Linked DNA regions of Notamacropus eugenii. The protein of the gene in region 4 purifies or fractionates together with the protein of the main gene of each other region. This does not show direct contact. Links are inferred from orthologs where the notes say so. Each region holds a gene or a part of one and is shown on either strand. Other genes may lie near its edges.

What was found.
Region 1: the proteins of ISG15 (region 4) and FLNB purify together in Homo sapiens (affinity purification with mass spectrometry; 3 studies listed by BioGRID and IntAct, with this or other methods). This does not show direct contact. The link is inferred for Notamacropus eugenii from reciprocal best matches to the Homo sapiens genes ISG15 and FLNB.
Region 2: the proteins of ISG15 (region 4) and HSPB1 purify together in Homo sapiens (affinity purification with mass spectrometry; 3 studies listed by BioGRID, with this or other methods). This does not show direct contact. The link is inferred for Notamacropus eugenii from reciprocal best matches to the Homo sapiens genes ISG15 and HSPB1.
Region 3: the proteins of ISG15 (region 4) and ENO1 purify together in Homo sapiens (affinity purification with mass spectrometry; 4 studies listed by BioGRID, with this or other methods). This does not show direct contact. The link is inferred for Notamacropus eugenii from reciprocal best matches to the Homo sapiens genes ISG15 and ENO1.

Annotation. Positions count from the first base shown.
Region 1 is NC_092874.1:467,304,114-467,311,057, forward strand, and holds the start of FLNB (filamin-B), read right to left. Parts: upstream 3,002-6,944; 5' UTR 2,904-3,001; coding exon 2,612-2,903; intron 1-2,611. UniProt on the Homo sapiens protein: Connects cell membrane constituents to the actin cytoskeleton. May promote orthogonal branching of actin filaments and links actin filaments to membrane glycoproteins. Anchors various transmembrane proteins to the actin cytoskeleton.
Region 2 is NC_092873.1:51,267,717-51,275,659, reverse strand, and holds the start of HSPB1 (heat shock protein beta-1), read right to left. Parts: upstream 3,002-7,943; 5' UTR 2,510-3,001; coding exon 2,107-2,509; intron 1,763-2,106; exon of another isoform or gene 1,121-1,762; intron 929-1,120; coding exon 865-928; intron 1-864. UniProt on the Homo sapiens protein: Small heat shock protein which functions as a molecular chaperone probably maintaining denatured proteins in a folding-competent state. Plays a role in stress resistance and actin organization.
Region 3 is NC_092876.1:47,730,793-47,737,953, reverse strand, and holds the start of ENO1 (alpha-enolase), read left to right. Parts: upstream 1-4,161; 5' UTR 4,162-4,279; intron 4,280-4,496; exon of another isoform or gene 4,497-5,052; intron 5,053-5,224; exon of another isoform or gene 5,225-5,446; 5' UTR 5,447-5,498; intron 5,499-7,161. UniProt on the Homo sapiens protein: Glycolytic enzyme the catalyzes the conversion of 2-phosphoglycerate to phosphoenolpyruvate. In addition to glycolysis, involved in various processes such as growth control, hypoxia tolerance and allergic responses.
Region 4 is NC_092876.1:33,694,602-33,701,618, forward strand, and holds the start of ISG15 (ubiquitin-like protein ISG15), read left to right. Parts: upstream 1-4,016; 5' UTR 4,017-4,193; coding exon 4,194-4,196; intron 4,197-6,799; coding exon 6,800-7,017.

The DNA.
Region 1 (6,944 bases), on a different chromosome or scaffold from region 4:
TATATTTTAAACCTTCAGTAGACAGACAACTGGAAATAAATCTGCTACTTTTGTTACTTAATCAACAAAAAGTTAGTAAGTCCCTACTCTGTGGAAGGAGTATACAGGGTAAAACTACAGAGAACCTACTCCAATCTGCACCACTTGACCACTCACTACCTCTCGTGGCTGTTTTCCTCAAATGTGAAATAAAGGTGGGCCAAACTTTGTGCCCTTATGGCTCGAAATCCATAATCCTATACCTCCCATGCCAGTCCTTTTGCTCGTGGAGCTATGGATGAAAACAGAAGCAGAACTGAGCACCAAACCAGGGCTAGGATACGAGGTGGTAACAAAGACAACATTAAGTGCTACCATTTATTATCTTTGATGCCCTGCTTTAAAGTCTGCAGAGCACTTAATACACTGATCCTCAAAACAGCCCTACAAGTCAGTGATAGTTTATCTTCATTTTACAGCTGAGGAAACTTGAGTCATTGAGTCAAGTGGCATTTATTAAACCCCTATGATGTGCCAGGAGCTGTGTGCTAAGCGCTGGCCTGAAAGAGATTAAGTGACTTGCCCAGGGACACACGGCTAGGAAGTGTCTAGGGCAGGATTTATACTCAGCTCAGATCTTTCTACCTCCAGGATCAGCACCCTATCTACTGCACCACCTATTGGCCACAAATGGGCAGGAGAGCCCACTCTCTAGGACAGTTTCTCTAAGCAGAGAGAGAGAGACATACACAGTTCTAATAGTGAAAACAGTATATATAGGGTTTTAGTAAAACCTATTCACACTTTACAGTACTTTCAGCTTACAAATTCTCAAGAAACCCGGCAGTAGGATAGTGCCAAAGGATTATTAATCCCATTTTACAGATGGAGAAAACAGATCCAGCTTGTCCAAAGGTCCTGTAACTGACTAACATCTAACAGTAGAGACAAGGATTCTCATCTGTTGAGTTCAAGAGCAGTATTCAAAATATCCATGGTTGGCCACTCTTGGCATACCAAAGGCTATGGCCAAAATGAGACGTAGTGGGCACCTAGCACTTAACGTCAGATGTTACTAAGGGTGGATCCTTCTTCCACAGAATGATCCTGGGAAATAACATTCCTGAAATTCAACAATTTTTTTTAATGCCCAACCCAGCTTCCAGAATTTTCAACTCCAGGCTCTCTTGGTTTCTTGTTCCTTTTTTTTCCTTGGAGTTGTTTTGGGAGTTGTTTAAAAGGGAGAGGACCGGGAATAACAGAGATCCACACCTCTCCTTCCAACCAATCTTAAAGCAAAACACAATTCCAGAAGAAATACTTTAAAATGACTGAAGGCATTTCTCTCCACTTTCCTCAGGACAGGCAGGGGACTTTCAGGCTCATCCTGGGTGATTCCAGATGGAGCAGAAGGCCCAGGTGAGCTCAGCTAAGCCCCAGGACAAGATTCCCGTCTGGTTCCAAAGCATAGACAGATCCTCTGGTTTCCCTCCCCACCCTCAGGGGGCCAGTGGATCCCCACTCCCACCCCCAGCCCTCACCTGAGAAATATAAGGGGCTTCGGTTTCACAGAGAAGGAAACTGAAGCTTTAACGCCTTGGATTGGCTTAGATCAGAAAGTCAGCAAGGGCTGGAATTGGACCCCAGCTGCTCTCTGGCACCATGCTACCTGCCCCTAAACAAGAGGACGGCCTTTCTCCTAGGCAGAGCAATTGTACCCAAGCCGGGAGTCAGTCCAGCTGGGCTATTCCCGAGGGAAATGGGTGTGAGCACAAGCACAAGCCTAGTCTGGGCCAGTTAACCTGCCCCAGCAGGTGCAGGTACAGAGGGCCACAGACTCCCCTGTGGGGAGTACCCCTCAGGGAGGTCCCTTTCCAGCCGCTGACGGTAACCAGACTGTGGAAATAGTCCCGTGGCTATGCCCCTCACCACACTCCAGTTGGACAGCCCAACAGCTTCCTTCCCTCACCCACCACCCAGCACCCTCGATCCACTCAATAAACGCCCCCTCTCCGCTCTCAGCCCCTCTAGTTCCAGGTAAGGAAACTAAGAAATGGAACGGAGATCTTCCCTTCTCCCTCCAGCTCCGGGAAGGAGCACTAGCTGGATTCCCCCCCCACCCCCCAAAAAAAGTGAGCTCAGGAAAAGGGTACATGTTACACGCCCCCCGCCCCGGGGAAAAAATAAAACTCAGTACGGAGGTAAAGGCCAGCCCCTCGGCCCCAAGGGAGCTAAGGGGGATCAAAGGCTAGACTCACTCTCAAAAGCAAATTCAGAAGAGGAGCACCGGGGGAATTCCTGCACACACACTGGGTAATAGCTCCCCTCACCCAGGAGCGCGAAATCCACACGGAGCAGGGGGAGGAAAAGAGAGAGGAAGGGGATGGGGGCCGGGGGGTAGAAGAGGAGGAGAGACAGGGGATGTGGGGGAGGAGAGGAGAAAGGAATGGGGGTGGAAGAGGGGAAAGGGAAGGGATTTCGGGTGAAAGGTGGGAGGAGAGGTGAAAGGGATGGGGAGAAGGAGAGGAGCAGGGGATGGGGGCAGGAGAGGGGGGGCAGGGGATGCGGGGCAGAAGAGGGGGGCAGGGGATGGGGGGCCAGGAGTGGGGGGCGGCCGGCCCCGGGCACTGACCGATGGACACCAGCTTGATGCTCTCCAGCTCCAGGAACTCGAGCGCCACGGACACGTTCTCCAGCTGCATCTGGCGGAAGGTAGGCCGCTGGTGGAACTTGCGGTACATGCGCTTCTGGCTCAGCACCTCGAGCAGCGCGATCAGCCGCAGCCCGTCGCTCAGGTCCGTCTGCAGGTTCCCGATGCGCTTGTTGACGCACTTGAGGTGCTCGTTGCACCAGCGCGTGAACGTGTTCTGCTGGATCTTCTTCCACGGCGCGTCCTCGGCCAGGTCCTTCTCGGTCACGGGCATCTCGGCGGCGGATGCTGGGGCTGCTGCGGCTGCTCAGGCTCGGCTCGGCTCGGCTCGGCTCGGGGCTCCGCTCCGCTCCGCTCTCGGCGCTCTCTGCTGCCCCGCAGCCCCGGCCGTGCGCCCTGCCTGGCCCCGCGCCTGCGCCGGCCCTCCCCGGCGGCTGAGCTCGGCCCCTCCTCCTCTCCGCCCCTCCGGCCCTTGGCTGCGCTGGCTCGCGGTGTCCCTCTGCCGGCCGGGCCGGCTCCCTGCTGCCTGCCGCGGCCGAACCCGGGATCCCGACCCTCCGCCTGCTGGGCACCCCGCTAGCTGGCTACCTGCTGGCGTGGTGGATGGCCCTGCCCCGGCGGAGACCAATCGGGCCCTCCATCCAGCACGTACTGAACGCCTCCTGTGTGCCAGGCTTTAGGGATGCCAGTGCCAAGCCAAAAACGGAACCAAACGGGGAGGCGAGGCCGCCAGGTGAGCTGGTCTGAGTCAGACTTTGCTACTCAGGAGATCCGAAATCTTAGAGGCATGAATGTAAGCCCACTGCACTTCTTAACCCCGATCTCTGCCTTTGTTAAATGCAGTTTTCTCCTTCATTTATTCATTCAACAAACACGTACGTACTGTGTGCCAGGCCCTGTGCCAAGTACTGTCAGTTCACTTCATTTATTCTCCTACTGTGTGCCAGGCCCTGTGCCAAGTACTGTCAGTTCACTTCATTTATTCTCCTACTGTGTGCCAGCGCCTGTGTGTCAATTCTGCCTATTCACTCCATTTATGGGTCCAACAAGCTTTCATTGCCTTCGATGTGAGAGGCAGTGTGGTGTGTTGGTTAGAGAAGGCCTGCCTCTGACACTGTGTCTGCGTGACTCTGGGCTAGCTCCTTCACCTCTCAGTGCAGCGGGCCACGCTCTAAAAATAGCCTGCATTTGTAGAGGGAGTTCCCTAATTTAAAAGAAATCACCTCTCCAATCTCTAACCTTACTACGTATGGGGCTGGGCGCTAGGGATCCTTCCTTCATTCTAGAAGCTTTATTAAGCATCTTCTAAATACCAAATTCTAAGCTGGGTGCTAGAGATAAGAAAACCCGAAGCTGAACCGCTTCAGTCCTCAAGTTTACATTCTTGCCTGGGAGTAAAAGCAAACTGTTTAGAAGGGGGAGGGGAGGGAGGCATGGGAATCAATTCCTCAAATACAAAGATTTAAATCTCACCTAGAGAGATTAAGTGACTTGTCTAAGGTCATCCTATATAGGAGTCTGGACACCTGGTCTCTAGTCCCAGCTGGCAATCCATGTTATTCACAAAGGACATTTCAGCTCCTGACTTAACCACTTTGTACCTCAGTTTCCTCATCTGTAAAATGAAGCAGTTGGACTGAACGACCTTTAAAGGCCCTTCCAACCTTATCGTTCAACTTTCCCTCTCCAAAGGCATCAGGCATTTCTAATCTCAGTCTTCTTCATTCTGTAACTTTTTGGAGCCTCTGACACTTTGGAGCACCCTCTTCTTGGTGCTATCTTCTTTCTGGGTTTTTAAGACACTCTTCTTTCCTGGTTCTCCTCCCACTTGTCTGACAGCTTCTTTTCAGTCCCCTTGCCTGGATCTTCATGGAGGTGGTGCCCACTATTGGTAGGTGTCCCTCAAGGCTCTATCTTGGGCCCTCTTCTTTCTGTCTATGTCATTTTAGCGAGTCCCTCAGCTCCCATGAATTCAATTATCATCTCTGTGTGGATGATTCTTGGATTTATTTATCCGTCTCTCTCTCCGGACCACCCAGCTTCCATCATCAACTGCCTTCAACTACATGTCTTGTAGACATCTCACACTCAACCTATCCAAAACAGAAGCCATTATATCTCCCTCAAACTCCCTCCTCTTCACAATTTCCTGCTAATTGTACCCACACCACCCTCCTAGTCACCTAGGCTCCCAATCTTGGACTCATCCTCCATGCAGCTCCCACACTCACCCCACATGTCCGATTTGTTACCACATCTTTTTGTTTCTGTTCCCACATCTCTCATAGATGTCCCCTTTTCTCCATTTCTATCACATAGCCCCCACCCTGAGGCAGGCCCTCATCACCTCATGCCTAGACAAGAGCCTCTGACTGGGTCTCCCTTCATCAGATCTCTCCCCACTATAGTATGTCCTCCATTCAGCCACCAAAATCATCTTCCTAGTGTTTAAATCTGACCAAGTCATGCCCTCTCCTCAACAAATAGGAAGCCAGTGGTTCCCTATTACTTCCACCATTGAATACAAAATCTTCTGTTTGGTTTTTAAAGCCCATTAAAATCTGGCCTCTTCTAATCTTCCCAGTCTTCTTACACTTTACTGCCACCCACATATGCTACAGGTGGCTTTCTCCATATACATCTCCCCTCTTTGGGACTTTTTACTATCTATCCCCAATTGGATAGCTTGAAATGCCCCCCTTCCTCGATGCCAGGCTTCCTTCGAGACTAAACACAATCCCATCTTCTACAAGGGGTCTTTCCCCATTACAATTGCTATGTTCTATTTAGACACTGTACACATCTCATTTGTACATAGCTCTTTGCATATTATTCTCATTAGACTGTGAATTTCGGGGGCGGGGGGACCTATGTTTTTGCCCTTCCTTGGATTCCCAGTGTTAGCTCAGTGCCAGGCAAACAGTAGGTGCTTAATAAAAGCATTTGATGAGGATGATGTCTCACTTCTCTGATCTGTCCTTTGGGATTTTGTGATGCTAACCAGCCTTACTTGGAGAATACTAGGCTTTTTCAATGAGGTAACAGATAAACAAATTATGTCACATGAATACAATGAAAGTGAGGAATTTAGGGAAACATGGAAAGATGTGTGGGAACTGATGCTGTATGAAGTCAGCAGAACCAGGAAAACAATCTACACCATGACTGCAACGATGTCAGTGGAAGCAGAGTTTTGGTGATTCTAAGCTGCTCACTCTACAAACGCCTCCCTCTCTGTCTCTCTCTGTGTCTCTGTCCTTTTCTGTCTCTGTGTGTCTGTGTGTGTGTATCTCTCTCTGTCTCTCTGTCTCCCTCTCTCTGTCTCTCTTTTCCTCCATCTCTCTCTATCTTATTTTTATTATTATCATTTGTCTTTATTTCCAAATATCTCCCTTCTGTCCCTTGTAACAAAGATTAAAAATGAATGAGGAAAAAAATGTATTTCATCCAAACCAGTCCATATATCCACTATGTCTGGTTGTACATGCAGTATTCCACACCCATGGTCCTTCAGTTTTGCAAAAAAGAGAATGAGATGCATTTTTTTATTCTCTGTATTGGAAATATTTATGTTTATTGATGAGTAAACTTTTAATAAAAAAAAAAAAATACTGTTATTTTTAAATGACTCCAGTTCTGAAATCCTGCTGGCCTTTGTTTCCTGCCTACCAAGAGGTGACACCATTTCTCAGTGTTTGTTAAATTAAATTGAATTGTGGCGGTGTCCAAATTATAAACAACCCCTTCAGCTTCAGTGGGGAGAATCCCAGAAAATAAAATTCTTTGAAGTCAGTATAAACAGAACGGCATCTTCCCACGAATTTACAAACTTTAGGCAGGTAGATGCCAAAGAGGAAGGGAAGGAGGGGTGGAAAAACAAACACTGATCAAAAGGTTCAAATAAATATCAGCCTCTTGTTTTTAAATTCTAGGGAAAGAGAACTTGTGCCCTCTGCAGGCTCAGGTCCCAGCTCCTCCAAACTGTTTCCCCACATTGTGGGCTCAAGAAACTTCAGGATAAGACTGTCTTCAAGGTCTGGGCTCATGGGTTAGCGAGGTTCTCTCTGGTAGCATCCAAGAGGAAATCTATCTTAGCCTGAACACTGATCTAGGAAATGTGCTCTTATAATAACTCATTTTCCATTGAACTTTATAACATGCAGCACAGCAATTCTCAAAAAATTTTGGTCTCAGGACCCCTTTATAGTCTTAATAATTATTGAGGACCTCCCAAAGAGCTTTTGTTTACTTGGATTTGGATTCTCTCACTCTCCCCTGTATTTGTGTGTGTGTGTGTGTGTGTGTGTGTGTACAC
Region 2 (7,943 bases), on a different chromosome or scaffold from region 4:
GTATATCATAGACATTTAGAGGGTTAGAGACTGGATTTGGGATTTCCTTGATATAGGAACTTCTGGGTAAAGAAACACCTAATAATTTAGGCTGACCCCTTCTCTGAACCTTAAAGTTTTAGAGTTACCTAATACATTGAGAAATTAAGTGATTTACCCAGGGTCACATAGCCAGCATGTGTTGGAGGAGGGGTTCTTTCTGGCTTCAAGGTTTGCTCTCTGTCAGGTAGGACACGCTGCCTCTCTAGACTCTTAATATATGGAGCTTTTTGGGGGGGAGGGGCGTGGTTGTTGCCCCTGAGCCCTTAGCCCTAGCACTGAACTGCTCTAGTCACCAACAATAAGCCCTCAATCTTGACATCTGTGTGCCCATCTCTAGCAATAAACCTCCATTCCTGTCATAGGGATCCATTTATACTCATACAGATCATAGTTTTACAGCTAAAAGGGACTTTTCAGGGATTCTAGCCCACTCACCTCTTCTTAAAGTTCATGAAACAAAGGTTCAAGTCAAATAATTTTGGGGGGGTCATCTAGCTAACAAGTGGCAAAAGTGAGATTTGAATTCAGGTCTTTCTGACCTCCAAGTTCACCACCAGGCTTTCCTTCTATTCTTGGGTCAAGAAGCAAACTTCCTTCTGCTTGTACAGGAGAACAAAGGACTGGGCACACACTGAGACTTCAGACCCAGACAATTGCTACCAGATCCTGCCGTCTGTCTGGAGTGGGTCTGTGTGGGGGGTGAGGTGGGGGGGTGGGGGGGTGGATACAGGAGGGGTAAGTAGGCATGGAGGGAATACAAGGGGCTATGACTGAGAATTGGAGACCTCTCTCCAAGGGCCAGCCCCCTCTCCCAATACTCACGTGTATTTCCTAGTAAAACATCTGGAGATGAATCCATGCTCATCTTGTCTTTCCTCATGTTTGCCTGGGGGAGATGGGAGAGAAACAAATGAAGACTGGGGGCCTCTGGGAGACACACATTAATACCATCCACCCTCCCCCCAGCTGTTCTCTCAGAATTCCATTAGAGACCATTATTTAATAGAAGAGGAAATAGAAGCCCAGGGAAAGGAAATGACTCTTTCCAAGATTACACAGTAAATGGCAGAGCCAGACTTTTGAACTCTGAACCTCTGACTGAAGATGCAGTGGTTTTCCATAATCCTTTGTGATTTCCCTTCTCTTGAGTGAGTTCTTGTGGGAGAGGGGATATGGGAAACCTCCACATTTAGTGCACTGTCCTGAAGTGGTAGAGGTAGGTGTGGCCATCCAAGTGCCAGGGAGCTTTTTGAAGAGGGGCATGAAGCTTTCTCTGAAGTCCTCAGTAAAGGGCTGGAAGCAGCCCCAGCCTCTAAGGCTGAGAGGTGGGAGTTGGGCATGGGAGCTTAAATGGCTCCATGGCTCTGGACAGACAGGATCAGAAGGTTCCAAAGGTAGGAAGATGGCTGAGCACAGAGGCAAAGTGGGGTTTCACCTTCCCTTGTATCTCCAGTTCTCAGTACGGTGTCTGGGACACAGTAGGCACTTTTCTACTAATGTTTAACGTGGAAAGAATGACAATCTGCCAAAGGAATGGGGCTCAGCCCTGTAGGGGGCCTAGGGGTGGAGTTTGGGTCTGGTATTTGGGGGGAAAGGTTTCTGAGCCAAGTCCCATCTAGGTTCCTTCCTCCCTCATGTGCAGCAGCAATAAACATGTTTTCTCTCTGCAAGTCCAGGCTGGGAGAGAGAACAGCGTGTGCCAACTTTCTTCAGGATGAAGGTATGAGGGAAGGATGCTAGGAGGAGCCTCTGACTAAGGCCCTCTGATTAACCCATCACCTCCTGCCCCAGGATGAGAACCCCTGGCCCAGGGTCTGGGGTATCCAGCCCCTCATGCCCTGCCCTATCCCAAGACAGCCAGGAGCTGATAGCATGTTCAATGTTCTCCCTCTGAAGGCCCAGGAGGAATGCCTGTTCTGCCCCCCAACTCTCCCTTCCCCTTGGCCCATAGCCAGGACTAACATTCCCCTACCCCTGCCCCCCCAAACTGGGCTGCCCTGGGTAGACAATAAAGTTCAGGGGCAATATGGAGAAATGGGACAAGGGGCTGGGATGTCTACTCACCAGTGATTTCTACCACGCCATCCTTGGTCTTCACAGTCAGCTCCTCAGGGGCAAAGTGGTTGACATCCAGGGTTACTCGCCAACGGTCAGCTGTCTGCTGGATCTCTGACATCCCTCGGCTCAGCTGCCTGCTGAGTGCTCTGCTAAAGGCCTGGCCGGCAGCGGGTGGGGGTGCCAGGGGCCCAGCAGCAGCAGCAGCGGGAACCTGCTCGGCCACAGGGCTGGGCAGCAGCCGGACATAGCCTGGCCAACTGGTGTGGCTGGGCCATTGATACCAGTCTTCTGGAAGGCGGGGCAGTCCAAAGGACTGGTCGAAGAGGCGGCTGCCGGCTGGGTACCAATCCCTGAAGGGGTCCCAGCTGGGGTTTCGCAGAAAGGTGAAGGGAACTCGTCTCTCAGTCATGCTGAATTCTTAGTGTTGGGTGGGTAATGCTCAGGACCTACAACTCTCCCCTGGAGCTCTGGGACTGAGTGTCTAGGCTGGGCTGGCCCCGGTTATAAAGAGCCAGAGCCAGTTATTTTTAGAAGACTGTCTCAAGACTCTATTAATGGTAATTACACTGGGGCAGAAAGCCTGGGGGGGCGGGAGCAGGGGGGCCGGGCTAGGACAACGTCCACCCCCTTAGATTCCTTGGGGAGGGAGAGAGAAAAGGAAAAGAGGGAGGGAGAACAAGCCCAAGCCCTGCCCCAGACCTCGAACCTTCACTCATCTTTCTGGAAAATGAAGGAAGAAAGAGGGGAAGGTGGTGAGAGACTGAGGGACGAGGGGGATGGGGGGTGGAGAAGAGAATCTCCTTCATCATCCCCCCTTTCTTATGTACTTGGGCCAAGACTGCCCAGGGTACAGAGAGTACGACTTTAGCTGGGTGTCCCAGGGAACAAGGTGTGACTGGATTGCCCCTCTCCCTATCTATGACACCCCCTCAAAGAGATGCCTCTCCCCATTGCCCAGAAAGGGTTGCAACTTTGCCAAGGACACACAGAACAGGGCCTTGAACCAGCAAACTTGTAGGTTCATGAAGTTTAGAGCTGGAAGAGCCCTTAAAGCCCTTGCTCCCATTTTGCTGATGAGGAAGCTGAAACTCTAGGAGTCAGCTACTCCCCTAAGGTCATCTATTGTACATTTTCAAAAGCAGAACCATGTTACTCCTAACTCTAAGCATTCACCCTGACAAGAGGATACTTGGGGAGGAGGGCAGTACAAAGCTGACCCTACAGCTAGGGGCTGGGGGTGGGGAGTGAGAAAGACATAGGACTGTCTTATTGGTACAATATCTTGAAAAATCTCAGCTTTAGGTCTCAAATGCTTTTTTCTATTCTCCCCTCCCCCTCCCTTTCTCTGCAAGGGTATTTCCTCTCCTGTCTCTCCTCTGCACTCATGTCCTGACCCTGTCCATCTCCTGTCCTTAGCCCCCACGCCAGGGGGGTCCTTTGCCCAGGCTTGAGTTAGCTCTTAGCTAGGGCTGTCTCTGTGATATAACCCTAATTCCCAACAACAGGCACACACACGTTGATCTCCCACTTCACAGGGAGGTTGGGAAACTGGGGACCCCCAAGATCTATTCTTGGGGCAGTTATTTGTGAAGCATAGCAAACATCCCAGTATAAAATAGCTTGAAGAGGTGGGGCAGGGACTGGGACTCTATCAAAGAGACACTGAGGATACATCACCCTCTTCATCTTCCAGGCTGGGTAGCACAAAGTCTTCTGTCTTTCAAAACCTTAATTTGTCCTCTGTGGACACTATAGAAAGAACTCTTTAAAACCTGATGTTCAGATCTCACCTCTGAAACAATACCTGTGTAACCCTGGGCAAGTCATTCACCGCCTCAGACCTCAGTTTCCTCATTTGTAAAACAGACAGACAGCCTCTGAAGTCACTTTCATTACTTAAGCTAAGCTGCTGTGAAGGGCTCCAGTCTGCCCCACCCCCTAACTCTTTGGGGTCTCAGTTTCCTCATATCTAAAATGAGGGGTTTGAACTAAATGACCTCAGAAGTCCCCTCCAGCTAGTTACGATTCTATGATCTGGTGACCTCTAAGCTCTATGTGAGATCTAAATCTTTGTTTCTATTACTCATCAGTGTCTCCCCACCCCCATCCCACCCCTAGGTCAAGGAGAACTGGAGAAATAGAATGAGTGAGCTCAAGCCCGTAAAAGGCTCCAAGCTCAGAGATGAGACAGATGATTGAAACCCACACCAGGTCCGTTCCCAAGGGGGCTGGGTCAAGGCTGGTGAGATCACACCTATAAAGTGCTTTGAGCAATCTGGAAGAAAGAGAGCCGAAGAGTTGAAAATATACACAGCTCACCCTGCCCTCATCTCCCCGCTGCCCCACAGTTTCCAATTTAGGAAAACAAGGCTAATCCAAAGAGATAGAACAAAATAATCCAAGCAGGATTCTTCTATCTGAATTGTTCCCACTGACTCTCTCCTCCCACCAACAGGTTACTCCAGCCAGGGGCAGGGCTGGGCTCAGCATCAGACCCGGTTAAGTTGAAGGGGTAGAAGAGGTGAGCCCTGGAATCTTTAAACAATGGATGAATATGTTTGTGGATGCCTTCATGTTTCCATTGGGCAACCTCCTCTTCTCCTGCTTTCTCTTTTCCCCAATCCTCTAGGGATGGGAAATAGTAGGGATGGAGGGCTGAGGAATTCTGATCTGCTTCTATGCAGCTTGACTCTTGGTCCTCCCAAGCCCCACCCAACCATGTTTTCTGAAAAATAGGTGAGATCAGAAACCACAAGGAATGTCAATCTTCCCTGTTCACCTAGTCCTTGGGTGGGGTCTGGGAGTCTCTCCTCATTGGGAGGAGGAAGCTTTGAGGAGTTAGAATCTCAAAGTCTTTTATAACTCTTGACAAATGCCAGCTGTGTTCTGTGGGTGTGGGCTCCAAACAACTTGACAGGTTAAATCTCCTTTCATCATCCCCTCCCCTTGTACTTTAGAACTGTCCCCACCCTTAGAAAGGTCTGGAAACCAGGGGAAGGTCACACAGCTGTCAGTGGTGAAACTGGGATTTAAAACAAGAGTCTGTATCCCTGAATCTGTCTCTCCTTTCTCCCATCCGTCCCATCCCTGCATACTCACGCCCTCTCCCCACAACCTCCTTGAATCAGTGATATCTTAACCAAAGACAGATTTGTTCCAATCACTTCCTAAATCCCTGGTTATAGTAGGTGAGTTCTTCCTTGAGAATTCTCCTTGGTCAGTACTCACTGCTCTCTGCCATCAAGAATAAGACACAAAGTGTAGCCAGGTTCTAGACGTGGGCTGCAGCCCAAGAGGGAGAGAGTAAAAAGGACATTTAGAGAAAGGGAGAAGGGCCATTAAAGAGAAAACTATGACTAAAAAGAGGAAGGATATCTCAGGCAGCCAAGGGGATCAGCTCAGAACTAGAACCTTGAGGAAGTAAAGCCATAGGGAACAAGCACTGGGGTCATGCTCAACTCTGAGGAGTGAACTTGGAGGGACATGAATCTCCAAGGCCAGCTACCCTTTGTATCTGCCTGCCATGGAACAGTCTGTCCATATACCATGAAGTCATCAGTCCAACCAGCTTAGAGTCATCTGCTCCAACCTCTCATTTTACAGAGGAAGAAACTGAGGTCAAGAGGAAGAAAGGAACTTGCCCAAGGTCACACTGTGACAATGACAGAATTGGGAAGAAAGCTCCGGTAGCAGCAGCAAGGGTGTTGGACCAGGAGGGAGAAGTGGGTAGGTATTTCAGCTCTGTCATTTACTAACTGTATGCTCCTGGGTAAATCACTTCCCCTCACCAGTGCAATGAACAGTTTAGACTAGGTTAAACTCTAAGCTGATCTGACTGATGTGATGACTTCCCAGCTCTAAATTCTCTGATCCTATAAGCCTAGATTTGCTTTTCCTACTCTATCAGGCCCTGGGGGTGGGAGGGTAGCACTCAAGACAAGAATACAAGGACTGAGCAGGCAGCAAACAACTCCCATGGCAGAACTTGGTGGTCCCCATTCCCCACCTAGCCCAGGGCTTGGTCTCTCATCTTAAACCTCCTGATGTATCTCCCTGCCCTGCTTCATCCTTCTGAGTCCTTTTCACATCCTTATCTCCTTTTAGAGACTGGGCTGCTCTAAGATGAAAAGTGTTCTGGGCAGAGAAGGTGCTGGGCATGTTTGGAATAGACTCAGGAGGGTTACACGACTTTCCTAAGGTTACACAGTAGTAAACAGCCTATCTGAGCCTCAGTTTCTTCAACTCAAAAATGGGATACTAGTAGCACTGCTTACCTAGGGTTGCTGTGAGACTCAAGAGTTCATAAAGAATCAATGTTAACAGTGTCTACTATTACTATTATTATCAATTATTAGCAGTTTGGAGGATTGGGTAGAGAGCTGGCCTAGGGACCAGGAAGATCTGGATTCATATCTTCCCTCTAACACATCCTGGCTGTGTGACCCTGAGCAAGTTATTTAATCTCTAGGAAACCAAGACTATATATTTTAAAGAAGGTGGTGTTCTGCATTGGTGGAGAGACTTTCTTCACCTGGGAGTTCCCCAGGTGAAGCTCTCCAATGAAATTACAGGGCCAGTCTCTATCACATGATGATTATAATATATTTTATAGGAGAGAGCCCTCAATTGGGAGTCAGGAGACTAATGCATGAGTTCCAGCTTTGTCACTAATACCACAACCATACTGTGGGACCCTGAGTAGGTCACTTGCTCTCTCTTGGTCCCAGTATCTAGCTCTACTCTAAGTTCAAAGCTCTCTTTGAAGTCAATTACATTTTTCCCAACATCAAGTTGCCTTATGTAAACTGAGGAGATTGGACTAAATGATCTCTAAGACCTCTTGATTGGGCTGAAACATTCTACTATGTAGAGGCAGTGTGGTGCAGTGGAGAGCAAGCATAGGCTTTTGGAAACGGAGGACTTGGGTTCCAATTCCACTTCTGACCCTTTCCCTGAGTGACCTGGGCACATAAGTCCCCTGTTTTGGGCCTCAGTTCCCTCATCTGTAAAATGCTGGACTTGGTCTAGAAGACCTCAGGACTCTGGCTTTCTGATCCTAATATCTCCAAGGAAGAAGAGATCTTAAAACTGTGGTTTTCAAAAAATTATTTTGTTTTGTTTTTGAGAAAAAGGCAGCTCAGCTCTAAAGGATTTCCTTAGGAAAACAAAGGCACAGTCACCCTACCACCTACTACTGGGCTGGGGAGGGCAGTGGGGAAGAAGCGTGCAGATTGGATCACTTGGTCGGGGAGGCTGTACCAACCCCCACCCCTGACTAGAGTGGGTGTGAGTAGGGAGGAGAATTGGGGGGGGGGGGCAGGAAACGAATATTTCAAATTGTCCCTGATGACCCCAGAAGGTTTAGGAGAAACTACTGTGTCCACAGTCAAGGTCCCTGGGGCCAGGCCCCATTATGCCTTCTCCTGCAGGATAAGAATTATTGATCTGATGGTAATATTGTCGTGCCGGCTCCCCCCTCCCCGCCCCCCCCCCGCCATTTTATGAGTGGCAGGTGATCCAAATACTAACGACAATTTCTGTGTGAGAAGCGTTGCCAAGAACATCGCAGGGGACCCAAGAAAGGCAGTGGGCTGAGCCACAATTGAGGAGTGGGCCTTCGTGGGTCTAAAGTCGCTTCCAGTTCTATGTCTGAGATCCTCGGGCCCTGTAACAAGCTCGGGGCTGCCCAGGCACCCAGCGCTCCAGAGGAAGCACCCACCTGCTGGAGATTTACAAAGACTGAGAGATGGTGACCAAGGGTCCAGCAGGGGAAGATGGCATATACCCTGAGGGAGGGCCCACATGAGTCATGAATCCATCCAAGGGAAAAAAAAACCCTCTTC
Region 3 (7,161 bases), about 14 Mb from region 4:
CGTATAGAATAATATTTTCAAACAAAATACATTGTATTGCAAAGGACCCCAATTAGATTGAAATACAATTATCAAAATGTTAAAACAACAACAACAACAACAACAAATTCATAGGCCCCAGAATAAAACACATTATCCAAAATGCTTTTGTACTGGAGAAGAGGAATTCCATTTAATTACTGCCAAAAGACCATTCAGCCTTTAATCTGATCTTGTGAGTTTTCCCCCCCCCTTTGAGTCTTGGATGAATCCAGCGTGTGCTTCAGGGTGGGGTGTGTCCCACTCTCAGGCACTGACTGAGATGAGATGCAGAGGGGTTTAGTAAGAAGAATATGCAGCACCCTCTAGATTGCAGACGAGATTTGAGGACTTCTCTAATCTTTAACACTTTAACAACGGAGGACCGTGGAGTGAGAGTGTGATTGGAAACTTTGTTATGGCTCAGAGTGTGGTATAAGTATCTAAGAAACTTGCAACTGTAGCTGTCTAGAGCGCATTGTATTTTGTATTGTTTCCTGCTGGAATTAACTGGCTCTGACAGGGTAGGATTCCTTGTATCTTACCTTGATGTCTCTACCACCTCACCCCACCACCCCGCCTCTCTGTCTCTCTGTCACTCTGTCTCTGTCTCTGTCTCTCTCTCTCTGTCTCTCTGTCACTCTGTCTCTGTCTCTGTCTCTCTCTCTCTGTCTCTGTCTCTCTCTGTCTCTCTCTCTCTCTCTCTGTCTCTCTCTCTGGAGGCACTATAAAAGGAGAAAGGAATTTTAAAATCACCTCAGCATGGGCCCCTAGGGCTTGCTTTGAGCACAGGAGAAATAATAAGTCTTCAGTTTCCTGAAGCCTGAGTGAACAAGGCATCCAGGCAGCTGCAAAGATGACTTGCTGAGTCATGGGGCTGGGATGTTATTTTTTAACAAGGGCAGACATTTCAGCATCTTGCTGCTACAACCACAAATTCTGCTTTTTAAAAAATCAGCTTGCATAACCTTTCTGGCCTTTGCTAAATGTAAAAACCATTTATTTGGTCTTAATTCTCCAATCTTTCTGGGGTCCTGCATCTCAGGCTGGATTATTTTATTTGCCAGATGGACAGGGGATATTGTTCACCTTTTAAGCCTTCATCTCAATGTGCCCATGGGCTTGGAAGTGCACATTCTACAGGGAAATTATTCCATTTCCAGGTCTTACCTTTTACAAAGTTCATTAATCTTCACGGAGGATTGATTTCATGGGAGTCTTAGGAATAGAAAACCGTGGCTGGCCCTAAACTGCAAAATCGCAGACTCATCCATAGAGTTTTAAGGTTGGGAGGGACTTGAGAACATCTAGTCTGACACACCAATGACTGAGAACAGCAAACTGAGTCACAGAAAGAGGAAATTGTTAACAGAAAGTTAGTAGCAAAGTGGCATATGCCAACTACAGAGAACCAACTCATTTTTTCCACTACCTCAGACTGACCCTCAAAGTCAGATTAAAAGGTCAATGCATTTGACAAAAGCAGCAAACATATAAGTACCTAAATTGAGGCATGGTTGATCCCCAAGCAATGGATTGAGAGGTAGAGGACCAGATTTGACTCACCTCCAAACTATGTGACCCTGGGTGAGTCATTTAGCCCTTGAGCCTCAGTTTCTGACTTATAAAGTGGGACAATACCAGCATCGTTTAACGGAGGGCATTGTGTTTGGGAAGGAGGGGAACTCTGTAAACCTCACACAATTATAGATATATGAGCTATTATCCTGACTATCTGCAGAGCCCTGTGGGGTCTGATATTGGGCATGAGAAAAGTTTCAAAGAGGTTCCCTCCCTACCATCCTTGTCATTGACTCCTGAGTGTCCACACCAGCTCCTAGTTTTCTTACTTCTTTTTTTCTTTGCTTTTTTAAAAATTTATTTATTTATTTTTAGTTTTCAACATTCATTTCCACAAGGCTTCTCCTTTTTAAAAGTACATTTTACTGATGGCTTTGATCTCAGTCATTAGAGATAGGGGAGAGAGTTCCTCTACCCTACCCAATCCTTCTAGATTAAGTAATTTCTTTCTTAATCCCCTTCCCTTTTGAGAGGCACTGTGCTGAAATAGAGTTCGGAACCTGTGGTCAGGAAGCCCTCAGACTCTTCTCTATCTGTGTAATGCTGCTTAAGTCACTAAACCTTTCAGGCCTTCAGTCTCCTCATCTGCAAAATGGGGGCATTGAACTTCATGGCCACTTAGGTCCCTTCTAACTCTGAATCTATGATCCTTTGTTCACCTCCATTTGACTGAAACTGTCTTGAAGACAAACCCCGCTTTCTTGATCTTTTTCTTAGCTTTCTGCCTCATTTCTTACCATAGCCTTAATCACTGAATGTGTGTTGCCTCAGTGAAACAGACCTGATAAAGACCTTAGCTTAAAAAGGCCAATGTCCCCCACTATATCCTGCACCATCTCTAGTTGTCCTGACTGATATCTGGCCACTGGATCCAGATGGCTCCAGGGCAGAAAGTGAGGCCAGTGACTTTGCACAGCCCTGTCTCAAATCTGATTCACTTGCATATCGGGGCATCACCTCCATAATGTCACAGTCCTCTTTGAGAAAGTATAAATGATGACAACCTTTTCTTGACTGCTCTGGTACCTGACACTGTCAACCCCCCTATTCCCCTTCTGCTCCTTGAAATACCTTTTTTCCCATTAGTAATAAAGTGCTTATGCTTGCTCACCTAATAAGTGGTATGGTGCCACTTATTAGAAAGAACATGAGGAGTCCTCTGGAGTCAGAGACTTGCGTGTCCCTTCTATTACTTCCTGCCTCTGTGTGACCCAGAGCAAGTTACTAAAGCTCTCTAAACCTGTTTCCTCCTCTATAAAATGAGGGTATTGGGTTAGATGACCTTTAAGGTCCTTTCCAACTCTAAATCTATGATCCTCAAGGATCTTATAGTCTAGGAGACTTGTCTCCTTTCCTCTATCCATTTCCTTGTACCTCATACCATGGTGGCCATCTCTAGTCATCCTAATCTATATCTTGCCACTGGACCCAGATGACTCTAGAGGAAAAAGTGAGGCTGGTGATTTTGCCGAGCCCTCCCTCACTTAAATCCAGTTCACTTGCATGACATGACATCACCTCTCTGATATCATGGTCCTCTTCAAGAACAAAGGCCAACAACCATACTTACTTATGTGGACATGTTACATCCTCACTCTTCCATTTAAGAGCCAGAGGGAGATGGTGCTGCTTTTTACTTTTATAGACCTCTCCTTTGCTGAGCATAAGGTATTACAAGTATTTAGGGTTAGATCGACAGGTTAGCCAGTCCTGCTGTCCTCTGCCTTGTTCAGACTACTACTGAAGTAGTATATTCATTTCTGGGCACCTCCTTTTAAGGAAGGATGTTGATAAGAGATGGCAGCAGATAGAGCTAGCCTCCAAGTCCAGGAGACCTGGGTTCAAGTTGACTCTCTGACATATACTTCTTAACAAGGAGGACAGTTATGGCAAAGAGTGGCTTCCTCTTTATCTCCCCTAGAGGGGAAGAGTACTGATAGTTGAGTTGTTGAATTCTCTCCATTTTTTTTCTTCATTTTACGGTAGTTAAAAATGGAGGGCCAGCAAGTGGCAAAGTAAATAGAATAACAATCCTGGACCTGAGTTCAAATTTGACCCCCAACACTTGACTCTTACTAGCTGTGTGACTCAGGACAAGTCACTTAACTTCTCCAGGCTCTAGCTGGGCAACTCTCTATCAAGTGCCAACCTTCGCTGGAAGATGGCAGTTTTCTCACCGCAGAGTTCTCTATACTTGTGAAACTACCTGTCCCATACCTACCCCTAGAGAAAATCTGGATATTGTGCCAAGGGGTACTGTCAGGGTCTTGAAATTCCTTGAGCTCAGAGGACCAGTTTGAAAAAACTTGGGTGTTCAGCGCAGAAGAGTGGAGGTGGGGAGGGAAGAGACAGCATTTGAAAATGGGTGCAGATTCACTTCCTTGGCCCCATGGGAGCCAAGCAGCAACGAGCTACAAGAAGGCAAGTCCAGGTTTCCTGGAAGAAAACAGACAATAAGAGCTGTGAAAAGGCAGAACGGCAGTCCGTCAGTCAGTAAACGCTTATTAAACCCCACGTGTTTGACCACGTGCCAGGCAAGGTGCGGGGGGGGGGGGGGCCCACAAAGACCTTGCCCTCAGGGGGCTCACCCTCTAAAGCGGGAGACCACGTGCAAGCGCCCTTCCCGGCAAGGACGGGTGACCATCTATTGGTGGAAGAGGAGAACCCTGCGCGGATACAGGTTGGATTTGGAAAGACACCGAGATGTAGCTCAAGTCAGAACTTGTCATGAGCCGATGGCACTCAAAGAATTCCAGGGTCAGCCCGGAGTAGGGGTGGGGTGGCGGAGAAGAGAGAAGAGCTCTTAGAACTGCTCTACGCCCTGCAGGGGGCGGGCCAGCGAGGAGTGGGCATCTCCTTCCTTCGTCCTTGCCGCTGCGCACGCGCGAGCCTCTTTCCTTTTCTCCCGCCCCTCCCCCCTGACTCGGGAACGCGAGCGCGGTCAGTGCTACGTTCGTTCAGTCACGCAGCACTGCAGCTCTCGCCCGTAGCTGCTGCGCCTGCGCACCCCATCCAACGGCTTCTCGGGAGGCGGGGTTCTAAGGGGCCGGGGTTTTTCCATTGCCACAATGAATCACTGGTGCGTTCTAAAGGACCAGCAGTAATTCCACCCAAGAAGGCCCCGCACGAGCTGCAGTAATACTCCTGTCAGTCAGTCCCTTTCCTGGCCCTCGCTTGGAGGACAAAGTGGGTCGACCTCCCCCCAGAGAATGAGGGAACTGAGTTTGGGGGTTTTTTGGGGGGATGGGGAGATTGTAGAAATTTAAATAGCCCAGGGCGAGAGCGAGCTGGCCTAACGGTTTGGCGGCTGCGCAGGCGCAGACAGCACCAACTAGAAGCGGGGGAGCATGGGTGGGGGGAGAAGTAAGAGGGAGGAAGAGGGCCACTGTCTCTGGAGAGCTGGTGGACATTTTAAAGAATAAGCCGGGGGACTGAGATCGTGCGGGACGAAGAGTGCGTGAGATCGAAGGCCGACCCCTCCCCCCAAGAAACCCCCTTTCCCCGCCCTATCTCTGTGGGAGGGACAAGGCTGGAAGCGGCTCCCGTTGCTACCGCAGCCCCGCCCTGCCCGTGGGCTCTCCTACCCAATCAGGAGGCCAGCGGCGAGAGGGACGGCGCGCTCCGCCAATGGAGGAGGGAACACGCAGCCGGTGGCGCTAGGGGATAAGACAAATAGGAGAAGGGGGAGGCGGTGCTTGATCCCACCCCCTCCAGCCTAGACCGGAAGTCTGGAGGGAGGAGGTGGCACCGCTAGGGGAGCGAGGAGGAAAAGGAGGAGGAGCCACTGGAGGAGAAGGAGGGGTTCCCTGGGGTGAGCTCGCCCATTTAACGCTCCCTCTTGGTGTAGGTAGACCCCTCGGCCTGTGTTCTCTGAGCTCAGCGGAGGAAGCCCCATCCAGGTAAAGGGGACCCTGCAGACCTGGGCCGTCACCCCTGCTAGGGTTCTCAGCAGCCGGGGGGCAGGGGTGGAAGGGGGTCTCGGCCCCTCCGGGGTCGCCCGAGCCGGCCCCCATCACCCTCCCCGTGGACCGCTGTGGCTCCCACTGCCCGAGCCGAAGGGCTGCAGCCTTTGGGCCCTTGAGTCCTGAGTCGGACAACTTTCTGCCTCGAGGAGAGGACTTTAGAGGTTATTTGGGCTCCACCCCCCCCCCTTTTTTTTTAGAAAGTAGCAAATTGCGGCCGGTAGCAATGCTGTGCCTCCTCACTCAAGGTCACCCAGATGGAGGGGGCCTGGGTAGAGATTTAGTGGGGTGGCTTTGCGGGGATGTGGGTAAGTAGATAAGATGCTTGCGGGAGTGAACAAATTTTCCCTTGCAGTTTGGGGGAGAAACAAATCCCCGGTATTTTATCTACAAGGCGCACGACGATTTATTTCTCTCGGGGAGGTGGACTTTAAATGAACATGTGTCTCTCGGAGAGATTTCTTGTAATCCCTGTAGGATTTGGAATGGAGTAATTCCTTAAGGTGGTCCTAATTTCTCAGAGTAATCGTTCAGAGAGATTTGAAAGGGACTCAATGGAAAGGAATAAATTACACAACAGTTTGGGTAATTGTGCTGGTTTATCAGTAGCAAGTGCCCATCTTTGGGGGGAAGTAGGAAAGGGGTGTGATCTTTTTTTCTAAATATAGCTCATAAATGTAGCCATGTCCCTCACTTTACAGATAAGGAAACTAAGGCCCTGAGAAGTTCAAGTGACTAAATTTAAATAGAGGCAGGAAAAAGATGATGGATCCCTTTTTGGCAGTTCCTTTCCCCCCCTTTTAAGCTTTTATTCTGTGTACTGAAACAGGTCTTTTCAGATGCAGATTCTTGCTGCCTCATGGTCTGTGAAACCAGTCCCTTTCCTAAAATGGAGGAAGGGGCTGTGAATAGGATGCCCCTCCCCCAGTGGCTTCTTAGTCTAGAATGTTACAGTGATTGGAGCTTGCTCAATGAGTGCATTTCAGTGGTTTGGTGTCCCCGCTAGATTGCTTTGAAAATGTACTGTAAATGGAGTGAAATTAGAACTGCAAGTAATGATGTCTATTTTTGACCAAATTACACTAACCAGAATGCCTCATCTTAGAGGGCTGGAATGTATACAATTTATATCAGAAGGACCTTTTTATTTTTTCCCCTCTTGTAAAACCATTCTCATCTGCCAGGAAAGGACCTCTTAAAATGCCCATAGTTTCCTAATCACTGTTTTCCTCCAGAATATATTCTTGTTTAGTCTTAGTGGCAAACTTTCATCCCTGGCTCACAAGTTAGGCCATGACTGCCTACTGTACTACTTTGGTACATGGGTCAATCCAGAGATAAAAAGCAAATCACAAGAACTATGTGTGTTCTAAAATGGTTCTCCATCTAGTAGATCATTTTACTGAAAAACAGTAAGTACAAATGCCCCTTACAGCACCTAAGATAACTGTGGTTATTCAACCATGTCTGACTCTGTGATCCCATTTGGTGATCTCTTGGCAAAGATATTGAGTGGTTTGCCATTTCATTCTCCAGCTCTCATTTTACATATGAGGAAACTAAGGCAAACAGGGTTAAGTGACTTGCTCAGGGTCACACA
Region 4 (7,017 bases):
GCTGTAATCACCATGGCTTACGTTTGGAAACCATATGTCTGTTAATGCTCATTTGAGTTTCTACATCACTTGAAGCAGTTATGAAAGGTCATCTACCATCACTTTGGGGGAAATCTGTCAGTATGTGGTTAGAAACTGACAGAGGGGAACTTAATTCAAAGGGAAAATAGATTTTTCCTAAGAGAGTGGTGGGAACGTGTACCGGTAAGAGAGATGGTTTCTGGAAATTTAATAATATTTGCGTTGTATCCTAGATGACACCTTGAGGTTTAACCAAAAAAGGAAGAGACTAGCACCTCTCACCAAATACTAAGATAAACTCCAAATGAATATATGGCTTAGACATAAGAGGCCCTATGGTTGTTTAATCATTTTCTGTTGTTTAATCTTTTCTTCCTGACCCCATTTGGGATTTTCCTTGGTAGAGATACTGGAGTGATTTGTCATTTCCTTCTCCAGATCATTTCAAGGACTAGGAAAATGAAGCAAACAGGGTTAAGTGACTTGTTCAGAGCCACACAGCTATTAAGTGTATGAGGTCATATTTGAAATCACCAAGATGAATCTTTCCTACTCCAAGACCAGCGCTCTAACCACTGCACCCCTAAGAGGCCCACAAAGGGGCAATGAAGAAAGTACCTTTAAGATCTATGAATAGTGGAAGAATTCATGCCCCCTCAGTGATAGAGAGAATTACAGAAAAAAATGAACAATTTTGATTATATATTAAAATTAAAAATATAAAATTAATGTAAAATATGAAAAATATAAAATTAAAAAGTTTACCTGCAGATTAGTCCAATGTAGTAAAAAGTAGAGGGCAAATAGGTAACTGGGGAAAAAAATCTTTGCACCAAATTTCTCTAATAAAGGTCCTATATCCAACGTATACAAGGAACTGATTCAAATTTTTAAGACTAAAAGATATTCATGAATAGATAAAGGGTCAAAAGGTACAAAGAGGTCATTTTCAGTTCAAGAAATATAACCTATCATCAACCCTGTGGAAAAAATGCTCAAAATCATTAATAATTAGAGAAAATTTAAATTCAAGAAACTTTGAGGTTCTACCTCATACCTCTCATGTTGGCCAATGTGACAAGAGAAGAAAATAACATATTGGAGATGCTATGGGAAAACATGTACAATACTGCCCTGTTGGTGGAGGTAGGAATCAGCTCAGCCATTCTGGAAAGCAATTTGGAACGATGCCCAGAAAGTTACTAGAATGTTCAGAACCCTTGACCTAGCTAAGCTACTACTAAGACTGTAACCTTGCCCTCTTCAGATTCAAAGAGGAAGAGATTCTCTCTGTACAAAAACATTTCTAGCAGCATTTTTCATGGGAGCCCTAAACTGGAAACTGAAAATGAAACTTTCAGAGAAAGCTGGGAAGACCTCTATGGACTGATGCAGAGTGAGGAGAGCAGAAGTAGGTCAACAATTTATACAGTGAAAACATTATCGAGTAAATTCATCTTCAAAGATTCTAGAACTCTAAGAAACCCCAACCAAAAGAATGAAGATGAGATGACTTATTCATCTCCTGCTATAGAAGTGATAAATTTAAGATGCAGAAAGAAACTTTTAGACATGGCTAATATAGGAATTTGTTTTGCTGGACTATGAAGCTATAGAATGAAGGCTTTTTTTTTTTGAGGCAATTGGGGTTAAGTGACTTGCCCAGGGTCATATAGCTAGTAAGTACCTGAGGCCCAATTTATACTCAGGCCTTTCTGACTCTAGCCATTGCACCAACTAGCTGCCCTCAAGATCTTTCTTTCCTGGGTCTTCAGGACCTCTGGCTGTAGTACCTGATGAGTCTCATCCCCACTCCCTTTTCTCCCTGAATGATGGCTGTAGAGGCTGGGCTGACAGCAGAGATAGTGGTAAGAGAGCCCACTACTGCCTTATCTGGACAACAGAGACAGCAGTAGGTGGTGGGGATGGAAGAGCCCTTCTCCACAAAGGTGGATGATGTATGTCAGATGAAAGCTGCTACAATTCCCAGGAATCTTGACTTCCAGCTCCTGGGCTCCTGGCTATCCTTTAGGAGGCTATGCCCCTTCAGCTTGGCTGGTCTGTCTGCCCAGCTATTGGCAGATGGTTGGGGTGGTGGGGATGGTGAGCCCCTTCTATGCAGGGCTTGCCCCCCTAAAATAGCTCTACCACAAGATGTTCCAGCTGATGGTGTCTAGAAGAGAGAAAAATACCTTTTCCTAACCTACCCTCTTTTCCTGGTGACCCTGGACAGCTCCCTCTCTGTTAGAACCACAGAGCTCCTAGTCATTGAAGTAGCTCCATGACTTGAACTTCCTGGAGTGTAGTCAATGGCCAAGCTGCCCTTACAGTTCCCAGCTTCATAAAGGAATAACAGGGTTTTTATATGGTCCTTTGAAAAAAACAAATACTCTCTTTTCTGCACCTTATTTTCTGTAATTCCATCAACTGTGTGCTATGGGGGAGGGAGTGGGGAGCAGGAAGAGGAAAGGGGGCAAATAGGAACCAATTTCCACCTTCCAGAAACACTAGCAGCCATTCTGGGGTCATGTTCACAGAATGAGAGTTTGGTACCTGGGTTCCCGGGACCACAGTGTCACAGATGCACACCTGGAAGATTCCTTAGAAACCATTAGAACATTCTTATTTTTCAGATGAAGAAACTGAGGACCAGAGATGGAAGTCTCTACCTGAGATCACATCAGGGATAAGTGATAAAGCTAGGATTTGAATTGGGGTTTTCTAACTCCAAATCCTGATAATAACAGAGTAGGCAAGTGAGAAATGATTTTTCATCTGTTTAATCATTCATCATAGATTTAGACATAGATTAGGGGTTATAGGGGTCAACTAACCTAATGCCCTGGATTTGCAAATGAGGAAACTCAGGGATCAGAGAAATTGTGACTTGCCCAAGGTGAGGCAGGTAGAAAGTGGCAGGGGTGAAATTTGAACTCAGGTCTTCAGACTCCAAATCCAGCTTTTAGTTTCTGGAAGGGGCCCTCATTTTAAAGTTGAAGAAACTGAGGAACAGAAAGGTCAAAGTGAATTCCCTAAGGTCTCACAGATAGTATCTCACCTAGAGGGTAGTTAGGTGGCTTTGTGGTTAGAGTGCTGGGACTGGAGCCCAGAAGTCTTGAGTTCAAAATCCAGTTTCAGACACATCCTAGCTGTGTGACCCTGGGCAAGTCACTTAATCTCTGTTTGCCTCAGTTTCTTCATTTGTAAAATGAGGGTAATAATAACCCCTAGCTCCCAGGGTTGTTTGGAGAATCAAACAAGATTATATTTGTAAAGCATTTAGCACAGTGTAAGTACCACATAATATTAACTATTATTATTATTATAATTTAGAAGTCATAGACATAGTCATAGCCATGGTAGCAAGGAGCACAGTTGGTATTTGAACTACTGTTTTACAGATTAAAAGTTGAAAGCTACTTCAAAGGGCATTTAATCTGTCTTCCTCATTTAGGTGACTCATCCCAAGTCACGTATGTAATAAACTGCAAAGTTAGGATGGCATGGGGCTTGGTAAACAGTTAAAGCTTAATAAATGCTCTTTTCCTTATTCATTCGTAATAGGTTTAGAGCAGAAAGAAACCCTGAGGGTTAACTTCTTCATTTTACAGATGAGGAAACTGAGGCAGTGAAGAGCAAACTGGATTGCATTTGAATCCAGTTCCCCTTTCTCCAAATGCCATAAGAGGGACCACAAAGGGCAGACAAGATGAGGTCAGTTCAGGGAAGGAGATTCAAAGGAGAGTTTCTGCATTTAGAAACGGGGAAGCCCTGACTCATTCTGGGGGCTCCTGGGGTACGGGTGGGGATCACACCTTGCCAGCTCCAGTCAATTCTCCTTCCTCCTCACAGCCCCACCAGAAGCCCTTTCCCAGGGAGAAGTCTGACAGACTTTATCACTTTAGGGATTTCCATCCTTACAGCTGAGTTTTATTTCTGCCTCCAGTAGGGAAACAGCTCGGAAGGGAAAGTGAAACTGAAGAAATGTTCCATTTGCAAAGTAGAGTTTCAATTTCCAGAGCTGCGAGTCTCTGAGTCCACCCTTTGTGTTATGCTAATCAGGTGCGGGCAGATAAAAGGACAGTCATAGGCTGTCACAGAATCAGTGGCTGAGCAGGGAGAGAGGAGGCAGCCCCCAAAGCCCGAGCTCCAGCCTGAGCAGACCTGCAGCCATGGTAAGGTGGGAGCCCCTCGGTGCATCATCCCTCTGGGTCTCAGTTTCCCCTTTCTCCCCATTGTGAAGTTGGTTATCTCCCTCCTCCTCTATCCTCCCTAATCCTTTCCTGCTTTGTTCCTCCTTTCTTCTAACAGGGAACAACAGAGAGGTCTATCACCTCCTTCCCCAGCCCCTGATCTTCCTCTTGAGCGGAGGTGTTATTCATCCCTTCCCTGTTCTCCAGGGACCAGAATGTTCACTGCAGTCCATCTGAGTCTCCATTTCAGTTGTTCAGGCCTCACTTTGGCCAAGTCCTCCTAGGTTTCTCTGAATTCGAGCTTTGGCTTTCTCATCAATAAAATGAGGATAAGAATGCTTGACCTAGCCTTCCACTTGCAGGAGGGAGGACACTGATGGTTTGAGGGATCTTGTACACACACCTCAGTTTCTTTTTCTGGAAAATGGAATTAGACTCAGTGACCTCTGCCATCCCTTCCAGGTTTGAACCTATGCATGTCTATATGCAAGACAAGTAGTGTTGAGGGTCCTATCCAGATTTCAAGCTGGAAGGGACTTTAGAGGTTATCTGCTTCAAGCACTTTATGTTACAGAAGAGGAAACTCAGATTCAAACAAATTCTTACCTGTATAAGAGCGCAAAAGTACTAAGTAGTAAGGGTGGGATTAAAACTCAAGACTTTGGACTCCAAAGCCAGCATTTTCCACTGCACCTGCTGCCTGAGAAGTATAGAGACAGCCACTGCAATTGCTTCTGTCATTTTCTCTTTCCTCTTCTCTCTCTGTCTCTCTCTCTCCCCTTCTTTGCTCTCTTTCTTTCCCCTCCTCCCTCTCCTTCTTCCTCCCCTCCTCCCCTCTCTCCTTTTCTGTCTCTCTCCTCTCTCCCCTCCCTCCTTTTCCTCTCCTTTCCCCTCTCTCTTTCTCTCTCTCCTCTCTTCCCCTCCCTTCACCCTCCTCTCTCTCCCTCTTTCTCCCCCTCTCTCCTCCCCTCCCCTTTCTCCCTCTCTCTCTTTTTCTCCCCTCTCTACTCCCTTCTTTTTCTCCCCCTCTCTCCTTCTCTTTCTCCCTTCCTTCTTCCCCCTCCTCTCTCTCCTCTCTTTCTCTCCTTCTCTCTCCTCTACCCCTCTCTCCTTCTCTCTCTCTTCTCCCTCTCTGTCCTATCCCCTCTCCCTTCTCTCTCCCTTCCTTCCCCTTCCTTCTCTCCCGCTCTCTGTCTTTGTCTTCTCTCTCTACCTCCCTCTCTCTTCCCCCCTTTCTCTTTTCCTCTCCCTCCCTCCCTTCGTCCTCCTCTCCCTGTCTCTCCTCTCTTCCCCTACCTTCCTTCCTCCCCTCCCTTCTCTCTCCCCACTTCCTTTCCTCCCCCCTCTCTCTTTCTGTCTTTTTCTCCCTCCCTCTCTCCTCTCTCTCTCTCCCCTACTTCCTTTGCTCCCTCATCTCTCTCTCTCTCACTCTTGCTCTGCCCTAGATAAAGTAGGATAGAACAGGTCAGGGTAGGTTAAGCTTACTAGCCTGGGCTGGGCTAGGCTAGGTTAAGATCGGTTACGATACTACAGGTTACTATCGAATGCTGTCCCAGACCTTAGAGCCTACCTTATCCAAGCCCTTTATTTTATAGATGAGGAAAGGGGCACCAGGAGACCTGAAGTAATTTCAGCAAAGTCACATAGGGAGGGAAGTGAGATCTGAACCTTGGGTCCCTCACTCCAAAGCCAGGACACTTTTGAGGAGCTATCACTGAACTCTTCTGTGCAGAGTCCCATGCACCAGCATCCCCTACCACTGTGCTCCTCCCTAACCCACAGAAGGGAGAGGGGCCAGATAACTCCAAGGCAAGATGTGGCTGTGTGTAGCTGTGTGTGTGTGAGACAGAGATAGAGAGACAAAGAGAAAGAAAGAGAGACACAGAAACAGAGAGACACAAAGACAGAGAGAGAAAGAGACAGAGAGATACCGAGACAGAGGAAGATTGAAATCTAAGGTTCCTATAATTCCTCCTCCAGGTTGGGGAGCAGCCTGATAAGGACAGAGTAACTTAAAGAGAAGCCTCAGCCTCCATTCCCATTTCCACTTTCCCCAGGATGTGACAAGGGGATCCCAGGGTTTTAGGTTTAGGGTTGGGAGAGAGCCCGGAGACCTTCTAGTTCTATTTTACAGAGAAGACAGAAGCCTGAAGAGGAAAAGGGCTCAATGACAAGAGATAGTTCACACTTCCAGAGTACATCAAGGTTTGCAAAGAACTTTACAAAGGTCATTTCATTTTACATTTGTAACATCCTTGGCAGGTAGGTGCTATTATGACCCTCATGTTACAGATGTAGAAACTGAGGCTGAGAGCTTTCCCCCCAAAAGATCACACAGCTAAATAAGCCACTGAGGCTGGATTTGAACTTCGGTCTTCTAGCTTCTCTACCCACTGCCCCACCCATCTGCCTACATCACTTTAGATCCCCCAGGTAGTAAGTGACAAAGGCAGGAAATTCATGTTATCTGACTTCAAATCTGGTCTCCTTCTCTAAGCTTCAGTTTTCTCCTCTGTAAAAGGGGGCTACCCCCTCCCAGGGCTGGAAGTGCTTGAGCCTCAAACATGGCCTGGTTTCTCTTGCAGGGCATGCATCTGAAGGTGAAGATGATCACTGGGGTGGAATACCTAGTGAAGGCAGAAGGCCACATCACTGTCATGGAGCTGAAGAAACGTATTGCTCTGCAGACTGGAGAGCCAGCATATGCCCATCGTCTGGCCACAGAAGGCGGAGAGCTACTGCTAAATGGGAAACTCCTCTCCCAATACGAGTTGAGGCCTGGAGATATTCTGCTGATGATGGT